Linked DNA regions of Canis lupus familiaris. The protein of the gene in region 1 interacts with the protein of each later gene in a pairwise test. Links are inferred from orthologs where the notes say so. Each region holds a gene or a part of one and is shown on either strand. Other genes may lie near its edges.

Region 1 (5,369 bases):
GATGGAGAGGGGCCCAAAGCAAGGCTGCATTTGCTGTTCAAAATGATTTCTGAGGACTGGAAAAGGCTCCATGGAAATATTTCTTGGCATGCTCCCAAAAACATAAATGCTATTGATTGAAGATTTAATGACTCAAATGAATGCAATGGCTCTGAATGATTTTCTTGAATGTACCACTGTTATTTTTTTTTAACCCATGAATAATTAAATAGCTCATACCATGCTATCACTGAGATGGGCAAAGATAGCCATCTTTTTTGAATGTCACAATCCTTTTAACAAACATGGCATTGACCCGCCACTGGGCTCTCCTGACGCAGGGCCCTGTCATCAGCCAACGCCCCCAGGGCACAGCTGAGGCCGAGGGCCTGCTCCTGCTCCCGCCCTGCTCCTGGCTGCCATGTGCCACCCCCTGGGGTGAGCTCTATCCCGGTGCCAGGGAGACAAAGTGGGAACGCTGTGATCGATCCCAGAAAAGAAAAAGCCAAGCTCCTGGAGGCACAGGGACATGTTCCTTACCCGGGCGCTCTGACCAGCTATCAGCTGGTCATCTTCTGTCTGGACACTCGTCCGACTTCTGACATCGAAGTCTTCTGTCTCAAAGTCAGAGTCATCCAGTTCCTCGGGAGTCTGCCAGCAATATGGAGAGCACGAATCAGAAACACCCTAGGCCCTTGGGTCCAAAGTACAAACACCCAGAACTCTGGGTCTTCACATGAGCCATGTTCCAAGCAGCTGGGGCCAATCAGGTTAACATCAGCCATGATTCACTCGAGACCCGCCTCACTGACACACACGTGAGGCGTCCCAGGCTAGGCCCCCATCAGGACTTCCCAGAGGCTCGAGGAGCTTCAGCTTCTACGAGGGTCAGGACTCACCTGCACCCTACACAAAAGTGAGGCTCATCCTGGTGGGAAACGTACTGTATTGAAAAGACATTTTATCCAACATTAAGCAGATTCTTAGAACCTTCCCATGTGATGGCAAGAAGAAAATGAATGAAGGAAGTAATATTAGGCTTTCCCTTAGGACAATGCTTTGAAGAGAAGAAATAGGCAATGGATTTTCATGGACTTTTTTCTGCTTTACTTTTATCAATGTGAAAAGAACGTGGCAGGTAAGGTCTGAGTATGTCTCCAAGGTCCCGTTTCCAGTTCTAGCTCTCTAGCTTTAATTATGAAATAAAAATTCTTATTTCAAAAAAAAAAAAAATTCTTATTTCATACAACTTCCAGCCTCTCATGATTAGTGGCTGACTTGAAACCTGACGTTGTCTCCTGGAAGTTACTAGTAATGGGCAGTGGGCGGAACAGCTGGGGTTGGCTACTGGCCTGGCGGACCGGCCTGTGACAGAAGGGCAATGAGGCACATCCCCTATCTGTACCAGGATCTAATCCAAGGCGGGGCCCCAGGGCTTGCTGCAGGGCTCCCGTGAGAGGATGTGTGAGGAACATCTGGGCTGCCCAAGACTAAGCTTGTCTCTCAGTGACGTGAGGTAAGGACAGGGGGTCACGCCAGGCACCAGCAAGCCCTGGGGACACATGAGTGCAAGACCCGGAGTCTCTCTGACTTGGCGGCCACACACGACCCCACCGCTGGCCACTTTGGATCCCAGATCCCTGGTCACAGATACCTGCAGAGGGGCTTTCCCAGAGACATGCTGTCTTGTGAGAACCTGCTCTTGTGCCAGCCCTGCTGGCCCCGTCAGAGACCCAAGAACTATTCTTGCCAAGAGACCAGGTACCTCCTGTTCCTTCCTTTCTGCTGAGCATCTGTGTACCAGGGACCATACTGGGCCCTGGAGGTGCAGCACCGCTACTCCACTGTCGGGCCCTGTGTTGCCCACACCACAGCTCACTAGAACCACCAGCACCTCTGTTCTTCAGAGAAGATGAGGAGAGTCCAGGAGGGGCCGGGGCTCCAGAGTCTGCAAGCATGTCCCCTCGTTGTATACGCAGTGTCTGCCCGCCCAACCCCCCAAGATGTCAACCTCAGCACCAGTGACTCCTCTTTATCTTAAGGTCCCTTTTATTCCATTTCTAAGTGTCTAAGAAAAGGCTCTGGAGAAACAGGGCTGCGTCCATTACCAGCGATGGCATGCCCAGGGACCCCTTCATGGCACTGGGACAGGGCGGCCCATGTGACCAATCATTCTACCAAGCCAGCTTGCTTCTCAGGTACAAGTACAAAGAGATGGAGAAAGCAGAGCAATTTCCTGCCCCCGTGCAGCCAGGGAACCTGGGGCCTACAGGACAGCTGGCACCAACCAGGGCATGCACACTTCTCCTTCTGCCTCACCCGGGGGGCCCCGGCCCTCTTGCCCACACGTTTCTACGCTGCAGATGAAGTGGGTCCAGCCTCATGCAGCTGCCTTAGAAACGGCCCCTGTTTCCAGCTGATGAGCTGGGAGGATAAAAAGTGGGACAGGATCCCTGCCCACCCTGAGAGGTCTGTCTAGTAAACCGGGAAAGTGTAAACAACGTCTCCTGACCCCACCAGCCAGGCCGCACAGCCAGCAGTGCTCCCTGCAGCAGGCGGGCTCTGGCCCAGGCCCTTGGGACCCCCAGGTGGCCCCGGGGGACGGGGATGCACACTTCCTGCTCTCAGCTCCCAGAGCAACAGGCTCGTGCTCAGAAGACGATGTGAGACACCACATGCCAGGGGAGGGCAACTGGGAGACCCAGCCCTGGCACCCTGGGCCATATTACGGGGGTGGTGTCCGTGGCTTCTCAAAACCCTTGTATTTACGCCACCTGGGAGGGCTGCTGGGTATTCCCTCCCATAGGTCAGAGAAAATGGGTCATGTGGGGCCCAGAACAGAGAAGGCACATCAGGGGAGCTTGAGCAAGGGCTGCCACAGGCACTCCTCCTCACCCCAAGGATACAGAGGCTCTGGGATCTCCCACCACTGTCAAGGACAGGGGCGTCCATGCAAAGGATGGCTTCAACCTGCATGAAGGAAACACTCCCTTCTCAGAAAATAACTGAAGAGGCTTCACTGTGGGTTCCCTGTCGCACACCACAGTCTGCCTATCTGTGGGGAATCTATGCCTGAAACTAAATTATCAAAGCCAACTCATCCTAGCTCCCTGTCTTCGCCCAAGTTTGGGCTCTAACTTGCAACTAAAAGTCATTTTAGACAACATAATTAAATATATCTCATTCTAACAGCTTTTAGATTCATGGTTTTAATATACTGCCACCGCATCTGCTGAGTTCCAGAATGATGCATTGCTCGAGTTTAGCAAACGATAAGAAAGAAGCTGTTAAAACGTCTGAAATGCAGTTACTCACCCTTATCATCAACACCGCTTTCCTGATGTCCCGGATGCCGTCGTACACGAGGCGGGAGGCATCGATAAACTCATTCTCATCCATGGGCTGGGCTGGATCCGAGCTGAGGGCTTCCACAGCCGCCTCCACTTGCTCGGTAAAACGTGGCATGACTGTGGAGAAAGAGGCACGGCAGGTCCAGCTGGCCCAGCAGACAGCATTACTCTACCTGCCCCCCAAATCCCTCAAGGAGACAGAGGAAGCCAGGTGCATGATGAAGAGCCTGTGCCTCCAACCCATGTGAAGAGTATTTACAGTTGAAATAAACTAAATGCCATATTTTACCAAGACTCAAATCATCTTTGTCTCTGACCAGATTTTACAGTATTGGATTTGGATGGGAGAGACATGAAGTGAGAAAAATTGGAGGCCCTGCTTAAAACTAGGACCGTCCTTAATTTAGTATTTATTCACTAAAAAGAGACTTAACTCAGAAGTTCATCTTTAATAGTATGTTCAGAATTAATCCCATAATTAGCTGGGGACACATGTGAAAGGAAAGTTGTCAAAGCCTTATAATTTGGCTCATCAACTTCTCAGTCTGACATTCACCCTGACATTACTGTATGAAAGCCTGAGCTACATCCTGATCTCGTCCTTCCTACCACGAGGGCCTGCACTCACAGGGTGGACATGTGTGTGTGGGGAGTACCAAAAAGGGAGGGAGTCCCCAAACCTGTGTTGGAGAGCAGCTTCGTGGCTTCCAGGACCTTCTCCGTGTAGACCCCTGGCTCATAGTTGTCCATCTCTGAAGTGACTACATGAATGACCCGAGCAGCCCGTCCTCGAATTGCACCAGCTGTGCGGTCCAGACCATCCACATCTTTCTCTTGGAGAGCAATGACGCATTTGTTCACATCTTCCAAAATGTGATTCTCTAAATAACAAACAAAAAGCCGAATAAGGGAAAGGGCATTCCACTAGAAGGGGGACAATGGTACGCTGGCATCTACTGCTCACCGAGTGCTCATTTTGTGCCAGCTGCAGAGCCAAAGCTTCCCATGTATCATTTCACTGAAGACCAGACTAACCACTTAATTAACTGTCCCACAGAAACTCAACCCATAATCACCTCCAAGGATAATAATCCTCAATTCCAAGTTTATAGAGAGAGAGAGGAAGTGATCAAGAGATCTTTAAAGTACAGTTGTTCTGTAAGCCAGGCAGAAAATTCAGATCGCAGAGACCTTGGTAACTTCTCTCTTCTTTAAATAATTTCACTAGCCTTATGTCCAAAACAAAGTCTTAAATAGAAGAAAGGGTTCATTATAAGTCTCTATCCTTCCAGTCCTTTGCCCTTCCCTCTAGTAGATGCCAGTACTCAGACAATTTGCCAAGAAGCCAGGACAGCCCTGGGGTAGAAGGTGCTAGAAAGCAGAATGAAGCCACCCCTGGAGGGCACCAAGGGAGCCTCCCTGATACAAAAACATTTAGTATCCCTTTCATGGGTGGCCATGGGCCTACTGTGGTATTTGCAAAGACCCTTGAATTGTGTTAAGCTGACAGGTGGCTCCTACCAATCAGAGAAATGGATGTGGACGACCCACCAAAATTATTTTTCCTCAAAGCAAAATGCTTGACACTAGAGTTTGGGAACGTCAGAGTAAAGAGCTTCTGCTTCATCTGTAATTACAGCAAAGTAGAAGCAACTAAAATATCCAAGGGCAGAGTACGTAATAAATTATGGGCACTATACAGCCACTAAAATGGATGATGTCCATCTGTAACAGCTGAGCCAGGATGGTCCAGGCAACTGTTCTCACTCACCCAGAAATACAGGGACCACCAGCAGACAGCCCAGATAACAGGGCTGCTCAGACTATGGGGTGGGTGCAGAGTGACATAAAGGAAAGCCCCATAATCATCTGGCCATTCCTGCTCAAACAAAAAATGAGATGTAGGCCGCCTGGATGGCTCAGTCAGCTGGGCAGCTGCCTTCAGCACAGGTCATGATCTTGGAGCTCTGGGATCAACTCCTGCATCAGGCTCCCTGCTCAGTGGGGAGCCCTGCTTCTCTCTCTCCCTCTGCTCATTCT
Region 2 (5,898 bases), on another chromosome or scaffold:
ACCCTATGACCCAGCAATTGCACTGCTGGGTATTTATTTACCCCAAAGATACAAATGTAGTGATGTGAAGGGGCACCTGCACCCCAATATTTATAGCAGCAACGTCTACAATAGCCAAACTGTGGAAAGAGCCCAGATGTCCATCTACAGATGAATGGATAAAGAATGGCATATATACACACAATAGACTACTACTCAGTCATGAAAGAAAAGAAAGAAAAGAAAAAAAGAAAGAAAAGAAAGAAAGAAAGAAAGAAGAAAGAAAGAAAGAAAGAAAGAAAGAAAGAAAGAAAGAAAGAAAGAAAGAAAGAAAGAAAGAAAGAAAGAAAAAAGCCTGGCCATTTTCAACGATGTGGGTGGAACTAAAGGATATTAAGCTAAGTGCAGTAAGTCAATCAGAGAAAGACAATTATATGATCTCACTCATACCTAGAATTTAAGAAACAAAACAGGATCATAAGGAGGAAAGAGGAAAAAATAAAACAAGATGAAATCAGAGAGACAGACAAACCATAAAGAGATTCTTAATAAGAAACGAACTGTGAGTTGCTGGAGGGGAGAGGGACAGGGTGATGGGGTAACTGGGAGATGAATATTAATGAGGGCATGTAATGAGCGCTGGGTATTATATAAGACTGATGAATCTCTAACCGCTACCTCTGAAACCAATAATACAATTCAATAATTTATTTAAATTCAATGATAATTCATTGAATGATAATATAGATACTAATGGGAAAAAAATAGATACTAGAGGGAAAAAAAGTCTTAGGTAACATCCACGCAATTGAAGATGTGAGACTAGGTGGGAAAAAGTCAAGGTTGGCAAGGTAATCTATGAGTTGATCACAGTTAAGGTTGTAAGAGTGAAGAGATCTCTCATGGGGAGAAGGTACAAAGGGCCTTGAATGAAACCTTTAAAGGCATTTGATTTGCCCCTTGCTTGAACTATGTTTATTGGACTGTGGGCTCCTTCAGACTGTACGATCCCTGAGGGCATATCTGATCTCATCCTTGCATTCCCTAAAAGTATCCATTACAGTTTTGTACATAACTGGTGCACAGTAAGCAGCCTATATTAAAGGAATCAATTATTTCAAGGTAATTTCTGATTAATATTTCCTGTTCCACCTGCACTCTGTATTTCAAAAGGTTGTGCCACAGTGGTGTCTGATTTTCCAAGGCTCTGTAACTGGTGAACTGACAAACAAGGCATTGGGACTGTGAAAATAAATTAGCCTTCGGTGACATTAGAACTAAAGCAAATCCCCAGAAGAAGTAGGGAATACTCTTCAAGAAGTTTCTGCATAGAATTAAACAGGAGGGATCCCTGGGTGGTGCAGCGGTTTAGCGCCTGCCTTTGGCCCGGGGCGCGATCCTGGAGACCCGGGATCGAGTCCCACATCGGGCGCCCGGTGCATGGAGCCTGCTTCTCCCTCTGCCTGTGTCTCTGCCTCTCTCTCTCTGTGTGACTATCATAAAAAAAAAAAAAAAAAAAAGAATTAAACAGGAAATGTTTTTACTCAGGGAGTGAAACAAATGAAAATTTTCAACTGTAGACACGACACAAGTTAACAGTGTACAAAAAGTAAAGCTTCAGGTGAAATAAAGGATATACATGGGCAGCCCGGGTGGCTCAGCGGTTTAGTGCCACCTTCAGCCCAGGGCGTGATCCTGGGGACCTAGGATCGAGTCCCACATCGGGCTCCCTGCGTGGAGCCGCTTCTCCCTCTGCCTGTGTCTCTACCTCTCTCTCTGTCTCTCATGAATAAATAAATAAAACGTTAAAAAAAAAAAAAAAGGATAAACAAGATAATTAAAGGGAATTGAGGACAGTTGAGAGGCATACTTTAAAAAAAAAAAAAGAAACATGAGGGAAAAGTCATTCACCTGCTCTCCCACAAAATATTACAGAGGTAGAATAAAAGACAAACCTTAAAAAAAAAAAAAAAGGCGAACCTGATTCAATACCTAGATGAACAGTGTTTCCCCCATTGCTGTATAAAATAAGGAAAAGGACTGCTAAAACCCATCAGGAGGCAAATCTGCTGACAGCCCCCATCCCCCCAAATTAAATGATCTAGGTTCTGGTATGCCACAGCGTTCTAACCCTGAATCACAGCTAATGCCCTAAGGGCTTCCAGATAGGTGAATCAATGGGGGAAGTCAGGGGAGAGAAAAGAAATGCGCTGGAGTCACAGATTCTAGGAACCTGACAAATCGAAGCATCTGTAATCCAACCACCCTCTCAGAATCAGACAGCTTTCCCCAAGTCTAAAAGATGGCCAACCAGTCTTTGCCTATTTACAACAACAGCAGATGGACCATTGGTAGGTAAAGTGACTCTTGTCTGAGCTGGACAGCTCTAAATCGTAGTAAAAATCCTCTGGAGTTATTCCTCAGTAACTTTCACTCCGGGTCCTGGTTCTCAAGAGCCATAGAGTGAAAAGTGAAAGTTGTATTTCGGATTTAATTTGAAGAAAAAAACAAAACAGAACAAACAACTAGGTATTACTTCCTGGCGAGTCAATACATTCCCTTCTTTCAATAGTAGTAGGAAAATTTTAATTTTTTCTTTTTCTCAGCGTTTGACTCCCCTTAAAAGAAAAAGAAAAAAAAAAAAAAGTAATGCCAGGCACGGGTTCCTTTAGACTCGGAGCTGCGACCTCCAGAGCAGAGGGGCTCAAATAACTACACACGCTGCAGCTGACGTGAAATCCCCGTTGCCAAGAAGCAAGCGGTTCTAGCCCGAGCCTGGCCGCTCGCAGGCTGTGGGGGCCGAAGTGCCTGCACCCTCGTTGCCAACGCCGCGGGGGGGCTGGACGGGCGCTCCCTCCCAGGCCAGGAGCAAGCCCCGCGCCCCACAGGGTACCGCGCTCGGCCCGGAGAAGCGGCAACGCTAACAGGAAGGTTCAGCGAAGCACCTGGCAAGACCCAAGCCGAGCCGCCGGACCAGCCGCCCGTATGCCCAACCACCCCGTCCGCCAGAGGCCACCTGAGCAACGGCACCGGTGGGCGCTCCCGGAGTTGGACGTTTCTGGCTCGGTCGGGGTCCCGGTCTATTCCTCCCGCCCACCCTCTCTCTCCCCACGGCCCACAGCTGAGCCGGAAGCCACCCCAAGGGGTGGTGTTCCAGGAGGCACTCCATGTTTGGGGTGAGTGTTGCGGGCCGGCCCGAGCTCTCGAGCTGGCGGGCGGCTGCGGCTGCGGCGGTCACTCACCGAGAGGACGCTCATGCGGATTGGGGTCTCCAACAGGCACGCCATCTTGAGCCTTCCCACCCGGCTACGGCCGGTGCCGGCGCGGGGGCCGGCACTTTCGACAGGGAACTACTGGGCCAACGACAGGCACCTTCTGCGGAGAGACAGGCAGACAGACGAGAACACACCACACTCTAGGCACAGCTGAAGTACGACCAGGGCCCGCAGAGGGGAGAGAAAAGGAAAACCGCGCCAAGCGTCTCCTGACGAATCGTCTTCTCAGAAACGGCAGCTACTCTCAGCCTGGGTTAGAGGTGGGAGCGGGCAGCAGTTTCCGCATGCGCAAAGAAGATCTGCCGGCCCCACCTGCCGCTCGCGGTGGGCGGAGCCACAGGGGCGGGGTCTCGCTCTTGGAGCTGCAAACTTGACGGGCTGAGTCGTTACAATGCAGCTCACCTATTCACATGATAGAGACTAGTGTGTGGAGTCACATATGTAATTTGAAGTTCACGTTCCTATACATTATCTCGCTCCTTTGCAGCAGGTTCCTAGCGTGGTTATCGCCATTTTACAGATGAAGGGACTGTGGTCTCCGAACCAGGTCTTCGGCGTAATCTGCTCGACCCATTAATTCTGGTGTAGTGTTAAGAATAGATACTCTGGAGCCAGAACGCCTGGGTTAGTCTTTGCTACTTCACTTATCAGTTGCATTACGTCCAGCCAAGTTACTTAACCTCCCTATGCTTCAGCTTTCTCTTCTATAAAATAGGGGTTATGAGAACGGGAAACTAAAGGTCTTTAGAACATGACTGGAATGTAGAAAGCGTTATATATATGTTACTATTTCCTCAGTCTCTGAGTCAAATAGAAAAAAAGGGGGACAAATATCTGAGAATTAACACTAAAGCACTCTGATAACTGAAGCCAAATAAAAACATGCTTCTAATGATATTTTCTCATTAATTCAGCTTTCCCACTCCATGTGTGTGTCTATGGGTGTGGTGTGTATGTGTGTGTATAAAACAGCCCTGGACTTGGCTGGACAGGTTTCACCTTCCTGCTGTCTATAACCAGTCAGTTTTCATAGAGTGGTTGCAATAAGCCTGTTTCATTACTTGTTTTTTTCTATTTTTATGGCCACTCCTTAATCAGGCTGTTACTACCTCTCCCCTGCCCTAGAGCAATAGCCTTCCAACTGATCTTGTAGCCTCTAACCTTTTCACTTTGCTCCTCACTGCTTTCTATTCTAGAAAGTTCCCCTTAAGCCACTTTGCTTTTAGCAAAGCCCTACGTTAGAATCTGTTTTTGCTAACCAAAGAAACCCAAAGAGAATTTTTGCTTTTATGAAAAAAAGGTAGTGAATGAAAATAGCAGTGTGTGTTTTGCAGTGAGCCTTTATAAGGCACCTGTCAACCACAGGCAGCAGGGGAGAGTGGCATCCCCAAGCTCTTCCTCTGGGAACTACATTCAGCATCTCAGCATCAAGCCACCCATAGCTTTGAACTGTATCTGTGAGCATCTGTGCTTTATCTCCATTTATTTTGTACATCTGTTAGTAAGATATGGCCTAAGGTATCAGAAATGCCTAAAAGAGGTTATTTTTCAGCTCTGGGAAGGCTCAAAAATGTTTCCATATAAAGTTATGGTATTCCTTCTTCACTTTATGCCATTTTAGTTTAGAAAGTTTTAATAAGAACACCCTAGCATTAAACAGCATAAAGAAAAAACAAATGTATATGTATCTGTTAATATAGCTGTTTTGTGTCTTTAAATAAATTCTTAGATGTTAAAAAAAAAGAACACTCTAATTTTGCTTTGTGGGGGAAACCTGTACTTGGTTTTCAAATTTATTGTAGCCCTAATCATCCTTCCTCATGGCTCTGTCTTCCCAAACTGTTGAGTTTCTAGAAAGCAGGAATTTCACTTCAGATTTTTCCTTCTGCAGTATTCTCCAAACTTCAGTAATCTGCATACCACCCATGCAAACTTTGTCATCTGAACCTGGGTGTTGTTATTCACTCAGTATTTTTCTTTAAAGTCAATTTCAATTCATTAAATAGTTTAGCTTCATCCTAAACCATAAGAGTCTGTAAAATCAAGTTTTTGTGCTTATTTTTATTCTATTACATATTAACATGATAACTACAAAAAAGTTTACATGTCCACCTATCACCTAAAATCATGTCATATTCTGCATACTATAACATAGCAGAGCATAACCCTTGAACAGAGGATATAAAAGTATCGAATGAAATTTCAGCTGACATTTATATGACATTTATATTTATAGAGTTGTGATAGCTGTATTTATCCATGTTCACCCATTACCTCAAGCAATACATCCTCCAGGAAGCCCTTTTCCCAAGTATAAGTTAGGTGACCCCTTCCCCATGTTTTTATACATCATGTTCTTTTTTTTTAAGATTTTATTTATTTAGTCATGAGAGACACAGAGAGAGGCAGAGACATAGGCAGAGGAGCAGGCTCCTTGCAGGGAGCCCTATGTGGGGTTCAATCCTGGAACTCCAGGATCACGCCTTGAGTCCAAGGCAGACAGACGCTCAACTGCTGAGCCACCCAGGCATCCCTGCATCATGTTCTTGCCACTAACACAGTATCTCCAACAATATATTTTAATTTTTTGGTAATTGTTTACTTGTCTCCTCATTATACACTTCAGGGTAAGTACTAGGATTTT

What was found.
Region 2: the proteins of CTNNA1 (region 1) and ARMC8 interact in a two-hybrid assay, tested with the Homo sapiens proteins (2 studies listed by BioGRID and IntAct). The link is inferred for Canis lupus familiaris from reciprocal best matches to the Homo sapiens genes CTNNA1 and ARMC8.

Annotation. Positions count from the first base shown.
Region 1 is NC_049232.1:26,500,520-26,505,888, reverse strand, and holds part of CTNNA1 (catenin alpha-1), read right to left. Parts: intron 4,211-5,369; coding exon 4,010-4,210; intron 3,447-4,009; coding exon 3,295-3,446; intron 631-3,294; coding exon 520-630; intron 1-519. UniProt on the Homo sapiens protein: Associates with the cytoplasmic domain of a variety of cadherins. The association of catenins to cadherins produces a complex which is linked to the actin filament network, and which seems to be of primary importance for cadherins cell-adhesion properties.
Region 2 is NC_049244.1:34,937,533-34,943,430, reverse strand, and holds the start of ARMC8 (armadillo repeat-containing protein 8), read right to left. Parts: upstream 3,516-5,898; 5' UTR 3,267-3,515; coding exon 3,222-3,266; intron 1-3,221. UniProt on the Homo sapiens protein: Component of the CTLH E3 ubiquitin-protein ligase complex that selectively accepts ubiquitin from UBE2H and mediates ubiquitination and subsequent proteasomal degradation of the transcription factor HBP1.